Linked DNA regions of Drosophila melanogaster. The protein of the gene in region 1 interacts with the protein of each later gene in a pairwise test. Each region holds a gene or a part of one and is shown in the gene's direction. Other genes may lie near its edges.

Evidence for each region. The genes of interacting proteins can lie anywhere in the genome.
Region 2: the proteins of CG6425 (region 1) and CG3713 interact in a two-hybrid assay, tested with the Drosophila melanogaster proteins (one large-scale study listed by BioGRID).

Annotation. Positions count from the first base shown.
Region 1 is NT_033777.3:26,712,494-26,719,035, reverse strand, and holds CG6425 (uncharacterized protein), read left to right. Parts: upstream 1-1,646; 5' UTR 1,647-1,771; coding exon 1,772-1,838; intron 1,839-1,897; coding exon 1,898-2,920; intron 2,921-2,985; coding exon 2,986-3,017; 3' UTR 3,018-3,871; downstream 3,872-6,542. Other genes in the region: Yif1 (Yip1-interacting factor 1), read right to left, coding at 1-114, 170-708, 1,010-1,058; amon (amontillado), read left to right, coding at 5,313-5,525.
Region 2 is NC_004354.4:844,575-849,845, reverse strand, and holds CG3713 (uncharacterized protein), read left to right. Parts: upstream 1-2,688; 5' UTR 2,689-2,742; coding exon 2,743-2,994; 3' UTR 2,995-3,675; downstream 3,676-5,271. Other genes in the region: CG14635 (uncharacterized protein), read right to left, coding at 4,650-5,009.

The DNA of each region.
Region 1 (6,542 bases):
ACCCGCTACGATCACGTATGTGATGTAGCCCATGGTGGGCAGATAGAGATCTGGCGCATTAACATCATATCGTGGTTGCACTGGGTGCTCTTGGTCGTAGCGCAGGGACCAATCCTGAAAGGAGTATGTAATTTATATGGTTTCTCCGTTTGTGCTTCACCACTCTCACCTTATGCATATAGGGGAAAAACAGAAGGCGCAACTTCCTGCCCACGTAGGCGTTGTCCACTGCGAAGTAGTACTTGAGCTTGGCTACGGGCACCCACTTCTCGAACTGATTCTCCATGATCTGCTTGCCCTGATCCGCTAGTTTCTGACCGTACTGCATAGCCATGTCTTGCACGATGGGCTGCTGGAACATGGCGAACTGTGGGTACTGTCCAGTGGGTGGAGCTACAGGCTGAGGTGCTCCTATTCCGTAGGTGGGTGGCCCAGCCGCCTGTTGGGGAGGTGGTGCTCCATATCCGTATCCGGGCTGCTGTTGTGGTGGCTGCTGAATGTGCTGCGAGGGCTGGCCGAGATTGGGGTCGAAGCCATAGCTGTTGACCGGGGCCGGAGCAGGTGCTCCGTACATATTGGGATCTAGTATTCCGGGGCCGGTGGGCGGGGCCATGAAGGTGGCGCCACCGCCCATCATCGGAGCCGAGGGTCCCATGGCGTTAACATCACTCACACGCTTCGGCGGCCTTGGGCGACCGGCAGCTGAGGCTATTTTGGGACAGAGCAACCATTAGTTAGTGCCGGAGGATCTAAACGATACAACTGGGAAGCGGGGAACACAGGCACTCAAGCTACACACGCATCACGGAACGGAAACGCACAGCAGGCATAGAAACTGGGGAGCAGGATGCAGTGGAAGCCAGGAGCGGCGCACAAAACGGGGTAACGTGTAACGTAAACAGTGACAGCACTCCGGATTCCGATTCCGGTCAGCGGCGGGTGGGGAAATTCCGGAGTGGCTGCACCGGACATCCTTCAGGTATACTTGCTTGCGTAGCCTGATCCTTACAGTTCTCCCACTTACGGTTCCGCATACCCGGATTTGGATTGTAGTTCATCTTTCTGGATCAGTAAATTGTATTCAAAATTTCGCTTTTTAACACATCACCATAAGCATTTTGTTGTGTGACCGGAGTTTAGTGTTGCCAAATACCAAAGCATGACCGCCTACCAGAATGTTTGCACTCCGATAGATAAAATACTAAAAGTTACAAAAAAAAATTATAGATATCTTTGTTTTTTTTTTTTTTTGTATTATATTTTGTATATTTGTACATTTCTCTATTTTTATAACGTTTACTCCGTAAGTTTACTTATATGTAAATTTATACACTATTTTATTTATACACTAAACTTTCTTTAAGACAATTTCCTATTGTTCATCTTATTGCGATATATGGATTTATGTGCCAATGGATGTCTCAGTACTCAAATAACTGATTTCTTGCATTGGTGGTAACAGAAATATCATCAAGTCAGCCATTATATAAAAGAACATATGTAGATGAAAATTTAAATTGATTGTATTTTAAAGATAAAATATTTTCATAGATTTTGGAGAGTGGATTTTTTTATTAAACTATGCGTTTAAGTGGAAAAGGGCTATAAACAAAACGAGTTGAATAGCAGAGTGACCATGTGAGTTTTGACAGTGCCATCTGGCAACACTGTCGGCTTACTTTAATTTTTAGCGCATTCCGCAGCGCAAAACAAAACAAATTTGATTAGTTAAATAATTGACTGCAGTTCACTTTATTGTTAAGTCAAAGTTATGGAGAACGCACTTAAACGGCGATCTTTAACGCTCAGCACGCGTCTGCTGCATAAGCGCCACAGTGGTAAGGATTTCCAAGCTCGAAAAATCAGGAATATCCATAAAACAATCCTTTGTTAATAGCTTCACCACAGAGCGTACGCACAGGGCACAATGTAAGTGTATCCGTGGACACTCCCGGCTCGCCCAACTCCTCAGCAGTAGTGGGAATCACGTCCGACCTGGAGAGCACTCCACCACACAAACACAAGCCCAGCTTGGACGACAGTGTGGACTTCTCGCCCCGTTTGGACATCAGCCTTTCGCCCAGCTGCCTCTTCTCCCAGACACTGGCCACCGAAAGTCCGGAGGTGGGCTGGCGCTGGAACCGAAGCAGCAATGCCACCACGGACAGTGGCTTCGACTCCGCGGAAATAGGCAGTTTGAGCCAGCGCGAACGACGCCGGCAGATAGCCTTTAAGGGCGTCGAGGATAGACGCAGCCAACTGGACAATGAGCAGTGGCGGGCACAGCAGATGCGGGCTAATGTTCTTCTTAAGGAGCGCTGTGCTAGGCTCAATAGCCAGTTGGAGCAAATAGCTGTGTCCGAACCAGTAATGCCACTAAAAACTCCTAAAGCTCCGTCACCTGTTGCTCCCCGCACAAGATTAACCTGCACGAAGGCTACGCCAGAGCCAGTGCTTTCCCCTGTAGCTGCCTCCGATCCAATGGCAGACTTCCTCAACGACTCGGAGACGGATCTCTTCCTGCTTGAGGCCTCCCAGCAACTGGAGTCGAAAATAGAACACCATGAACCTCCCAAATCAAGCACAAGCACCACACCCACTAGGCACCACACGGCAAAGCGACCCTCCTTCTACATGAAATTTCTGGAAGACGAAAGCGAGGGCGAGGACTGGCTAAACGCCCTAGAAGAGGCAGTGCAGCAGGCCACAATGCCGAAGAAGCCGCGCACCTCGCTGCAGCGCTACAAATCAATGCCAACCACAGGGGATTCGTGCAGCGGAGTGTCCACCCTGACCAATGTGACGGCCAATTCAAATGCCTGCACAAGTGCCTCCTCCGCATCTGGTTCAGAGCTAAGGGATACTCCGCGCATCAAACGGCACGCCAGTTCGCACGCTCTGTCCCCAGCCACATCGCATGGTAAGTGCCAGAGTGAAGTCAAACATTTCTAGACCAAAGCAAACTCATCATTTCGTTCCCTGCAGCGCGCGGCAAACTCTTTGGCAGCCGGAAATGAAACCCGATTAGGTAACCAGCCCCTGAATACAATCAGCTTCCCTTCAGCGAGTACCAATTGTGATGAGCAAAGTTAGAGTTTAAGATATTTCGTTTTGTTTCGCTTGACTTGCGTGCCCCCTTGCCTGAGCATTCTGTATACGAGTACGCTAATTGATTAATGCAGCTCCAAAGCGTCTTTGAAAATGTTAATTTAAGCCTAATTAAAAATTAATTGTAATTTAAAGCAGGACCCTTAATATTCGCATCGAAGGCCTGTGCGTTCGTTCGGCGCATGCGACTCGCCATATGTTCGGCATTATCGGGCCGCGAACGCGCCGCCCACCAGTACCACCAGTACAGGTGGCAGGACGCAGACGGACAGGTGGATACGACTGGTCGCCGACAGGCAGTGAATTGACGTCCCCCGGTTGAGCTTTCATTCACGGATAGGAAGCTCGTTGAGTGCGACAGCGTTTTAAATTAATTGAAATGTAGGCGAAGGATTTCTGTTTTAATATTCAGACTATGGTTATATATAGGTCAGTTGGATTTCTTCGCGTCTTTGAGTTGCTTGAGAAGCAGCTGATAAACCCAACAAAATTAGTATTTAATTACACGTTACCTAAGTACGCCAATTCCTCATCATCTTCGATTGTTTCAATGAATATTTCGTTTTCTTTTTTCCACTATTGATAAACCTGTTTAATATATTATTAAGCCTAATGTAAATGCTTACATTGTGCTGGTTTTTTATATATGTATGAAACATTCAAGACCCAAGCCTTAATAATTTAGTGTATACAAAAGTATTTCTTATTTTTCGTTTATATTACATAAGTTGTATTGAAAAACAAATAAAAACTGCAACTTATTTATCTCTTGAGTTATTTTTCCGGCAACCAATCAAGCAAACATTACCCAATGTTAATTTATGTGGAGTTCATAAAATTAAATTTAAAATGCAATGAGGAGTCTAAGAAGGGATTTCCCTGGAAAACAGAATTTATGGCAAATGAAATCAAAGTGTGTGAATCCCATCTCGCACTTAAAACTCGGGAGGAGGCAACAATCAAGTCGGCATGAAAAGCCGGCGAAAGTTGCCCCAGCTGTCTTCACTTTTCGCTTGGCCTGCAGTTTAAAGGCTTGGGTGCTCGAGGCTTTATGAACCTATTTGGGCTAAGGTCAAAGTTGAAGCCCTTTCGCAGCCATTACGCGTAAGAGGCAATTGCGCCCATGTTTATGAATAGTCCTCCTCCAGTCGTCAGTAGTCCCTTCGCCATTCGAACCGCAGGAGCAAGTGACTCCATTCAGCCGAATCGTGCCATTCAGCCGAAAGTCAGCGAAAGTCAAGTATGCTGCCATATGTTTACGGAGCGCAGCATAAACCAATGACAAAACACTAGCTACAACTTAGCACGGAATGGTGGGTGGCTAATGGCAGCGGGCGTCCAAACTGGTGACGTCTGCGGGCAGCCAAAGCCGCTGCAGAAGCCAAGCCAACCGAGATGGAAAGCCTGAGTCGGTGGGAAAAGCCATAGCAAAAGCTTATCCAACGCAGCTGAGCAGCAGTAGGCGAGCAGGGGCGTAGTCGGGTGGATTATGGGGGATTAAGCTTATCTGTGTGATATGTATATTACTTACTTTACCATGATAGCGTACTTCTAGTTTTGCTAGCGTACTTCTAGTTTTGTAAGCCTAACAGTAGTAGCCCCTTGGAACATTCCTGTGCACGCCACTGGCGAAGCTGGTAAGACAACGGTATCTCCGCTAGGGGTGCGTCGAGTGAGTGGCGGGTGGCTTATCGCCTGCTAGTCGGAGCTTTCGAGCGAGCTTCGGCGGCGAAGCTTTTGCCACCGCTTTGGCGCCTGGCGGACATTCATAATGGCGTCCGTCGGTACCGCTGGCGAACAGTACTCAGCGCGCAGCGCCCCAGTGAAGTTCGTGGCAGCGCACAAAGACTCCAGACGAAGTACATAGAAACAGAATTTCAGGCGGAAGGAAAGCACAACAAGCTCCATAGAAGGGGCCAAAAATACACAATAAAGAAAACAAATTGCAACCACAACAAGAGGATATTTTGCCAACCGAGCAACTTGATCCTGGCTACCCAATTCGCGTCGCCAATTCGCAGAGTGTGCAGTGGAGCGCGTCCTTTATTTTCGTCAGCACTTCGGTATCCTGCCAACGGAAAAAAATCACCCAAAGGACGCCCCACGCACCAACTGTTTGTACGGGCTGCCAGAGTTGCCCCATCGCCGCCAGGAGTCAGAGGCCAGGAGGAACCCGCAGGACCAAGGCGTCCAATCTGAATTCCATGGCAGCAGCCACATGGAGCTGGCTGTTGGCCCCATTCCTGCTCCTCCACTGGGCCAGTGCAGGAGCGGGCGGAGGAGCAGGCGGCTCGGGAGCGGGACTGAGCGGCCCCGCCGTCTTTACCAGCTCCTTCCTGGTGCGCTTCCGGCGCGGAGTGGACAACTCGTTTGCCCATGATGTGGCCGACAAGTACGGCTTCGACAACCTAGGCCCGGTAAGTGGAATGTGCGAAAAATCAATTATTATATTGCCGACGGCCGGCTTGGTGGCTCGCTTCTTTTGGGCCAAGTTGTTAGCGTTTCTGGCTGACATGCTGCACTTGTCGGGCGCGTGTCAGGCGTTAATTGCGATTGCTCGAGGGGTCTGGGTGTCCTAGTGCTCGAGTGTGTGTGTGGATACCAGGAGCGTGCTCGGAATGCCAAAGGCAGCTTTTGGCCAGCTGGCGAGCGGCAAAGTTTTTGGGGCTTGTGGCATTGGCCAACTTCCGTCGGCAGAGCGAAGTTTCCGCTGCATACCGCCAGGCGCAAATTTGCGCATTGCATGCTAAAGACCCATTGCATTCGAGCCAAGGTCAACGTGGCGAAAATAAACTTGCCCACACACGGGGGTAAATAACATCATAATAGGTCAGTAATTTGCACTCGAATCGCTTCTGTCTGCGGCACTTTGACCTGTCATTCCAACGATTTTCTGCCCAGATTATGTCGAGTTTCAAATGAAAAAGTGTAAATAGAATGGAATCAATTCGCTACGGATCAATGATGCATGTATAATCATTTCCAAAGTATTGCTTCTTGTATGTTTGCTTATCATACAAACTATTCGTTGCGAAATCATTCCTGTTGTAATTCCATGTGCAACGTCAGTATGGACTTTCACTTTCTGCAATCCTGACAGCCCTGCGATTCGCATCGAGAAACCCTCTTATGGGTTTGTCATCCGTCAACGTAATGCGTAACCATTGCCCAATTCTGTCAGCACTTGACAGCTATGACGCGCACTTGTTGCACACGCACTCGGATTAGGTCAATAACTCACTCGAGGATTTCAGGATTAATGCGAATTCAAGAGCTGGAACGGACGCAATTAATTAGGGGCATCAATAACAACTAGAGAGCGGTAGATGGGCATGGGGGAGGGACTACAAAAAGCTGGCGCTAAATCCAATTAACTCTCCTATTCCTTGGAAATCCGATATCCAGTCGTCACCTGAGGCCCCGGCTCGCTGTTC
Region 2 (5,271 bases), on another chromosome or scaffold:
TTTATTTCAAAGCGCGTTGATCAGGGATTTCACTTAGATGGGGGGAAAAGAAGATGTTTTTAATGTCTATATTATGACTCTAAACCAAGCTGGGTATACTTGCCAGCAGCCAACCTGTTTCTCGCATAACGTTAACTTATATCCAAGGATGCCGCTTCCCCTCAAGTCAGTCTTCTCTTGACTAATCTGGCTTCTGTTACATCTTCGGTGCACTTGCTGTTCACAATCAGCTTATCTTATCTTACGTTTCCTTCCACTCCATGGTCGCATCCAAGCCAAGCGAATCCAATCCAAACCATTCCATTCATCAGGAGCGCTCTAACTAATAGTGGGCGTGACGTGAGCAAACCTCCATTGCCTGACAGACGAGGAACCCGCCTTGTCTGTCGCTCTTGTTTGGCATTGTTAATCTTTAACCTGAGTCCTAATCCGTGCGTCATGATTGAAAGCAGCTGCAAAATCGCTGTGTGGCTCCTGTGGCTTCCTCCTCAGCTTTTACCTATGGAGCGAAAAAACGAAGTTGTCGGCGAACGAGAGGGGGCTGGAAAATGAGGCGCACTGGGAAAACACAACGCACATGACGTGATGACGACGACATCGTCTAATCTGATTGCCCTGATGTATTCGCCCTGTGCCAATTTGTGTCAATTTCGATGGCGACCGAGAGCAAGAACTTTGCCGCTCTAAGCTGAGCTGCCTTCGACTTTGCCTAGCTGCTAATTAGTTCAGCCAGGCGGGGATGCTGCAAGTGCCGGCGCAGGTGCAGCAGTCGCCCTTGGCACATTAGACGTAATGAGAAGTCGTCGGCAGCAGTGGTAAAACGCCCCTCTAATGGCTCCGCAGGCAAAACACTTGCAAAGGAAGCTCAAAATTGTATTATTATTACTTTCGCGTGAAACTGTGGAAATAGGCGCTGTGCTGCTTGTACTCCCATTTGGGTTTAAGGTGGAGTAATGGGTATCTGATAGTCGGGGAACTCGACTCCAGCGTTCTCTGTTGGAAAATGGGCCTTTTGCTAAGACATTAAGCATACGCAGAGTAACAAAAACATGTAGTCCTTGCTGGACCTGATTTTTCTCACTGCATGCATGTGGGGGATAGGTTAAAGAGAAAATGGAAATTGCGGGAATGGGAATGGTGAATGGTGAATGGGAGAGGGGAAACGCGCAGTGCAGTGCCGTGGGGCAAACTCAATGCCGGCCCAGGCCTCCCATGTGTGTTTGTGGCAAGTTAATGACACACCTTAACCCATGTTAACCTAGTTTTTCATGTTGTGGTTATTCTTGTCGTGCTTGTTCTTCTTTCCACTTGACCCAAAGCCCAAAAAAAAAAAAGGAGAGTGGTGTGGAGAGGATGTCGGTGCGTATGGGCCTGGCCTTCATGCGGTTGACATGAATTTGACTGTGGCATGATTGGCCTACTTTCTGTCTTTTGCTTGCGCTCTAGGCTTTTTCGCATAAATAAGCTATTTGTGACCAATTTGCATTTTCCGCGTTATATTTCTTAACTGACACAATAAAAAGTTCGAAAGGCGAATGACGGCAGAATAGGAAGAGCTATAGCAAAATCCAACATATAAACAAACAATGCCCAAAGGGCAGCATAGATCTAGGGTAAGATCAGCATAAGAAAAAAATGGAAAAATGGACCGAGTGCGTTTAATTAGTCACATTCCGACATCATAATACCTTTAATAAAGCAACCAACTTAATATTAACAAATGGGGACCATAAAGTGTGAAATGTGGAGCGGGAGTCCTCAAAGGACCTGCGGATGGCAAGCAATGGCCTTCATTTATTTTCCTCAGCCGCAGCTGCTGCTTCTTTCTCAGCTTGTTAAGCATAATTAAAATCACAGAGCGGGATGGAGAGAGGCGCAGAGAGCCAGGGAGGAGAGGGACAGAGCTAGTGAGTAAGTGTGATTAAAAGATTGCAAATTTCTCACTCTTATTCATTTTTTTTAAGCTCTTCTTTCTGGCCAAATTGAATTTTTCGTTGCAGCAGACAGCGAGTGAGTGAGTAGGACAGAGCAGAAATGCATTGAACTGATCAGGGTAGTAACAGCACCATGTAGAATCGAAACTTTATTCACGTTAAATCCCCAATTATGTTGGTCTAAATAATGCTTGGTATTAAATAGTAGTATTCCCTGCAGAGGGCTCAAAAGTGTTTTTTTTTTTTGTTTTTGTGGAACGGAAGCCACCTCGCAATTCGACTTTAATGAGTAAACAGGGCGTGCAGACGCTATGCAAATGCTTTAGTCCCATTGAATTTGATGGCCGCGCATAAATGTAATTATAATGTGCATTCTATACAGCAACAAACATAAATGCATAAGTGCATAAATGCGCGCGCGTGTGTGTGTGGACAGTGGATTACGTAATGCCGATGCAGTGAATACGATATAATGTGCTATGCATAATGCATGATCGCACTCCTTAATCAACGCCAAACAAGCGACATTTAATTTTAATTTTAATTAATTTTGTCATTTGCTTTTTACACCGATGACGATGGATTTACCGGAAAACGAGCGAGTCTGTAATCCATCCATTTTCGAATTCTGCTGTGGACGCAGCTGTGCTGTGGATTGTGGGGCGTGGGGCTTGGAGCGCGGATTTGTGAACGCGTGGATGCCTGGGGCTGTAGAAGTAGTAGGGTAGTATAGTAGTAGGTGGGCCTCCGATATCGTCAGTGCTGCGAAATCAGCTGTCGGGCGAGCACCGCATAATCAGAGGTGGGGATGTTTCTGGGCTTCTTGGTGGATCTGCTGTACTGCCGACGCTGCGGGGACGACTGTATGATGGAATTCCCATCGACTTCCGCGAATGAAGAAGCAGCGCCGAAAGTGGTAAAGGTCGAACTGCCGCCGCTGCCGCCACTGACCTTTGAACTCATCCGCAATCCATTGGCTGCCGACCAGGAGTGCGATGATAGCTTCGAAGGCTTCGTCGATGGTTATGATGATCCCAGGCTGCCGGAAACCATCATCTGATTCAAAAAAAGCTTGCCACTCACTGGCATTCCGCACTCCGCTTCATTTGGTTTAATTAAAACTCTTTTTGCCATAATCCAATTAAGACCAAAGGCAAAAACCAAATGACAACAAATGGCATAATGGCCAGACAACAAAACAGACGGCAAAAAATAGAAAAACTCGACAAACTCAAACAAAGCTCCGCACAAAGCAAAAAAAAAAAAACTGAACAAAACAAAATGCAAACAAACAATGCAATAAAATTCAATTACAACAAAATTTTAATTAACTTTTTGCAATCAAAACACAAACCAAATGAGGAGACAACTGGCATCCGAATTGAAAGCCAATAAAAATGGGCGTAATAACCTAACCAATCTACAGGTCATCGATGGACAGGAGAGGGTTAAACGAATCTGACAAAGGCTGTGTACGTTAGCTTCAAATGGGATAGGATTACTTGAGTGTATCATGTTATGTGTGCAAAAGTTTAAAAATGTATATGCACGCACATATGGTAAATGTTTGGATTCGATTGGGAGCACCAAAGAACCAGGCACAGTTTTCCAAACAATAGAAACTACTCGTAGTCGTGTGCCAACTATCGGATACCTTATAGTCTGTATTAAAGTTTGTTATTGACTTATTTACTCTACGAGTACTGATGGAAATGAGTATAAATATGAAAATATTGTTTGTAAACTGTTAAAATGTTTTATTTCGTTTTGTGGGGCGGTAGGTCGCATTACGTATACGACGCGCAGACCACAGAGTAATACGTTTCTAAAGCAAGTTTGCAGTTGCACTGTTTCATTGTTGACCTATCAATTGGGCTCTTCTTCCGGTCGTAGCATACAGTCAGTGTGAACTCGTTTCTTCCAAAGCAATTCCGAGTCGGATAAGACACAGCTACTGCAGCCCATCAAGATCTGCTTCCATGCTCCTTGCAGCATTGTCCACCCACCCTTTAAGACCTCCTATATATTCACATCTGTATCGCAATCGCGAGAAAGACAACTTTTAGTGCGACATTCGCTGGAAACTTTCAGCAGAGCGGCAAACGACACCTAAACCGACTAATGGGCAAAGTCACCTCCTTTGGCAGTAGTGGCTTCGGGGGTTTACTTCACCCATTGTGAGCCATTTGTTTGCTGGAATTGCATTCGTGGCTGCGAAATAACATTTTCCGTTTCCGTTCTTGTTGCGACTGCGTGCCACATTTGTAAAACTTGTGTGTTTAAGTCTGAAGTGTCTGAAGGAAAGTGGACCCCCTCCCCAACCCCCCTTGGCACACCACCAGCAATTAATGCCAAATGTTTTCTGCTTTAGGCCGCCGCTTCATTTCCTTCCAATTAAGTCGCCAATTGGCAGGCCAGAACGCCCCTGATTAAACAGGTGTACGGATGAGGACGGCCAAATCCGGTAAAACCTTCGCAATCTTTCACGCACGCAAGTCGAACCGAACTTTCTGCCTTTTCAGCTTTATGTTTAATCCAATGGTTTGGCCAAGTTTCGTCGCAGCGCCGAACACCAGCCAGCCATCGCATGCAAGTAAATTGTCCATATAGTCAAGTCAGGAAAATGTGTAAAATGTATTTATTGTGTTCGACTTTTAGCGGAATATGCGGGATCACATGTTTAATGTCAATGCCGAAATCCCAAACAATTTCCGCCTAGAACTGGTCGGGAATATTTCGAACTGAACCAGATGACCCGGCGTCTTGGAAAGATCTGCCAAAAATTCGATCGTAGCGCTCCAAGGCTTCGTAGGAGACCCGTGCTGACCGCAATGAGGGACGAAGGTAGCCCGTTGATGGAGATCCAGCTGAAGGAGGAGGAACTGGAAACGAATCGTGTCGCTGTGGCATAGAAAGATCGTTCCACTTGCGGGTCTGCTCCTGTTGGAGCTGCAGATCGGGCGCCTCATCGTCCAGGTCAGCGATATTCCGCCGATGGGTGGTGCTGGTGGAATCCGTGTCGGAATTTCCCTGGGCCCTGATACAGGCAAACAAGTCGCTTAAACTAGAGCACATATTTGTTGCTTCTGGGCGAGTTTGTCGGTGGTTCCACCCTATTTATAATCGTGCAGCTATGCAGCTGTTTTTGGCAAAGGGAATGGCTCAGCCAATTAGTACACTAAGTAGACTTAGTCATTACCAAGCGACCAAGCGAACAAATAAAAACACTTCCTAACAATGTTGGAAATTTTAGACGGTACTTGTACTTCACATTTGATTGGATATGCAGTTAGATTCTCCTTTGAGTAGAGGAGTACGAGTATACTCCTCAAACAGC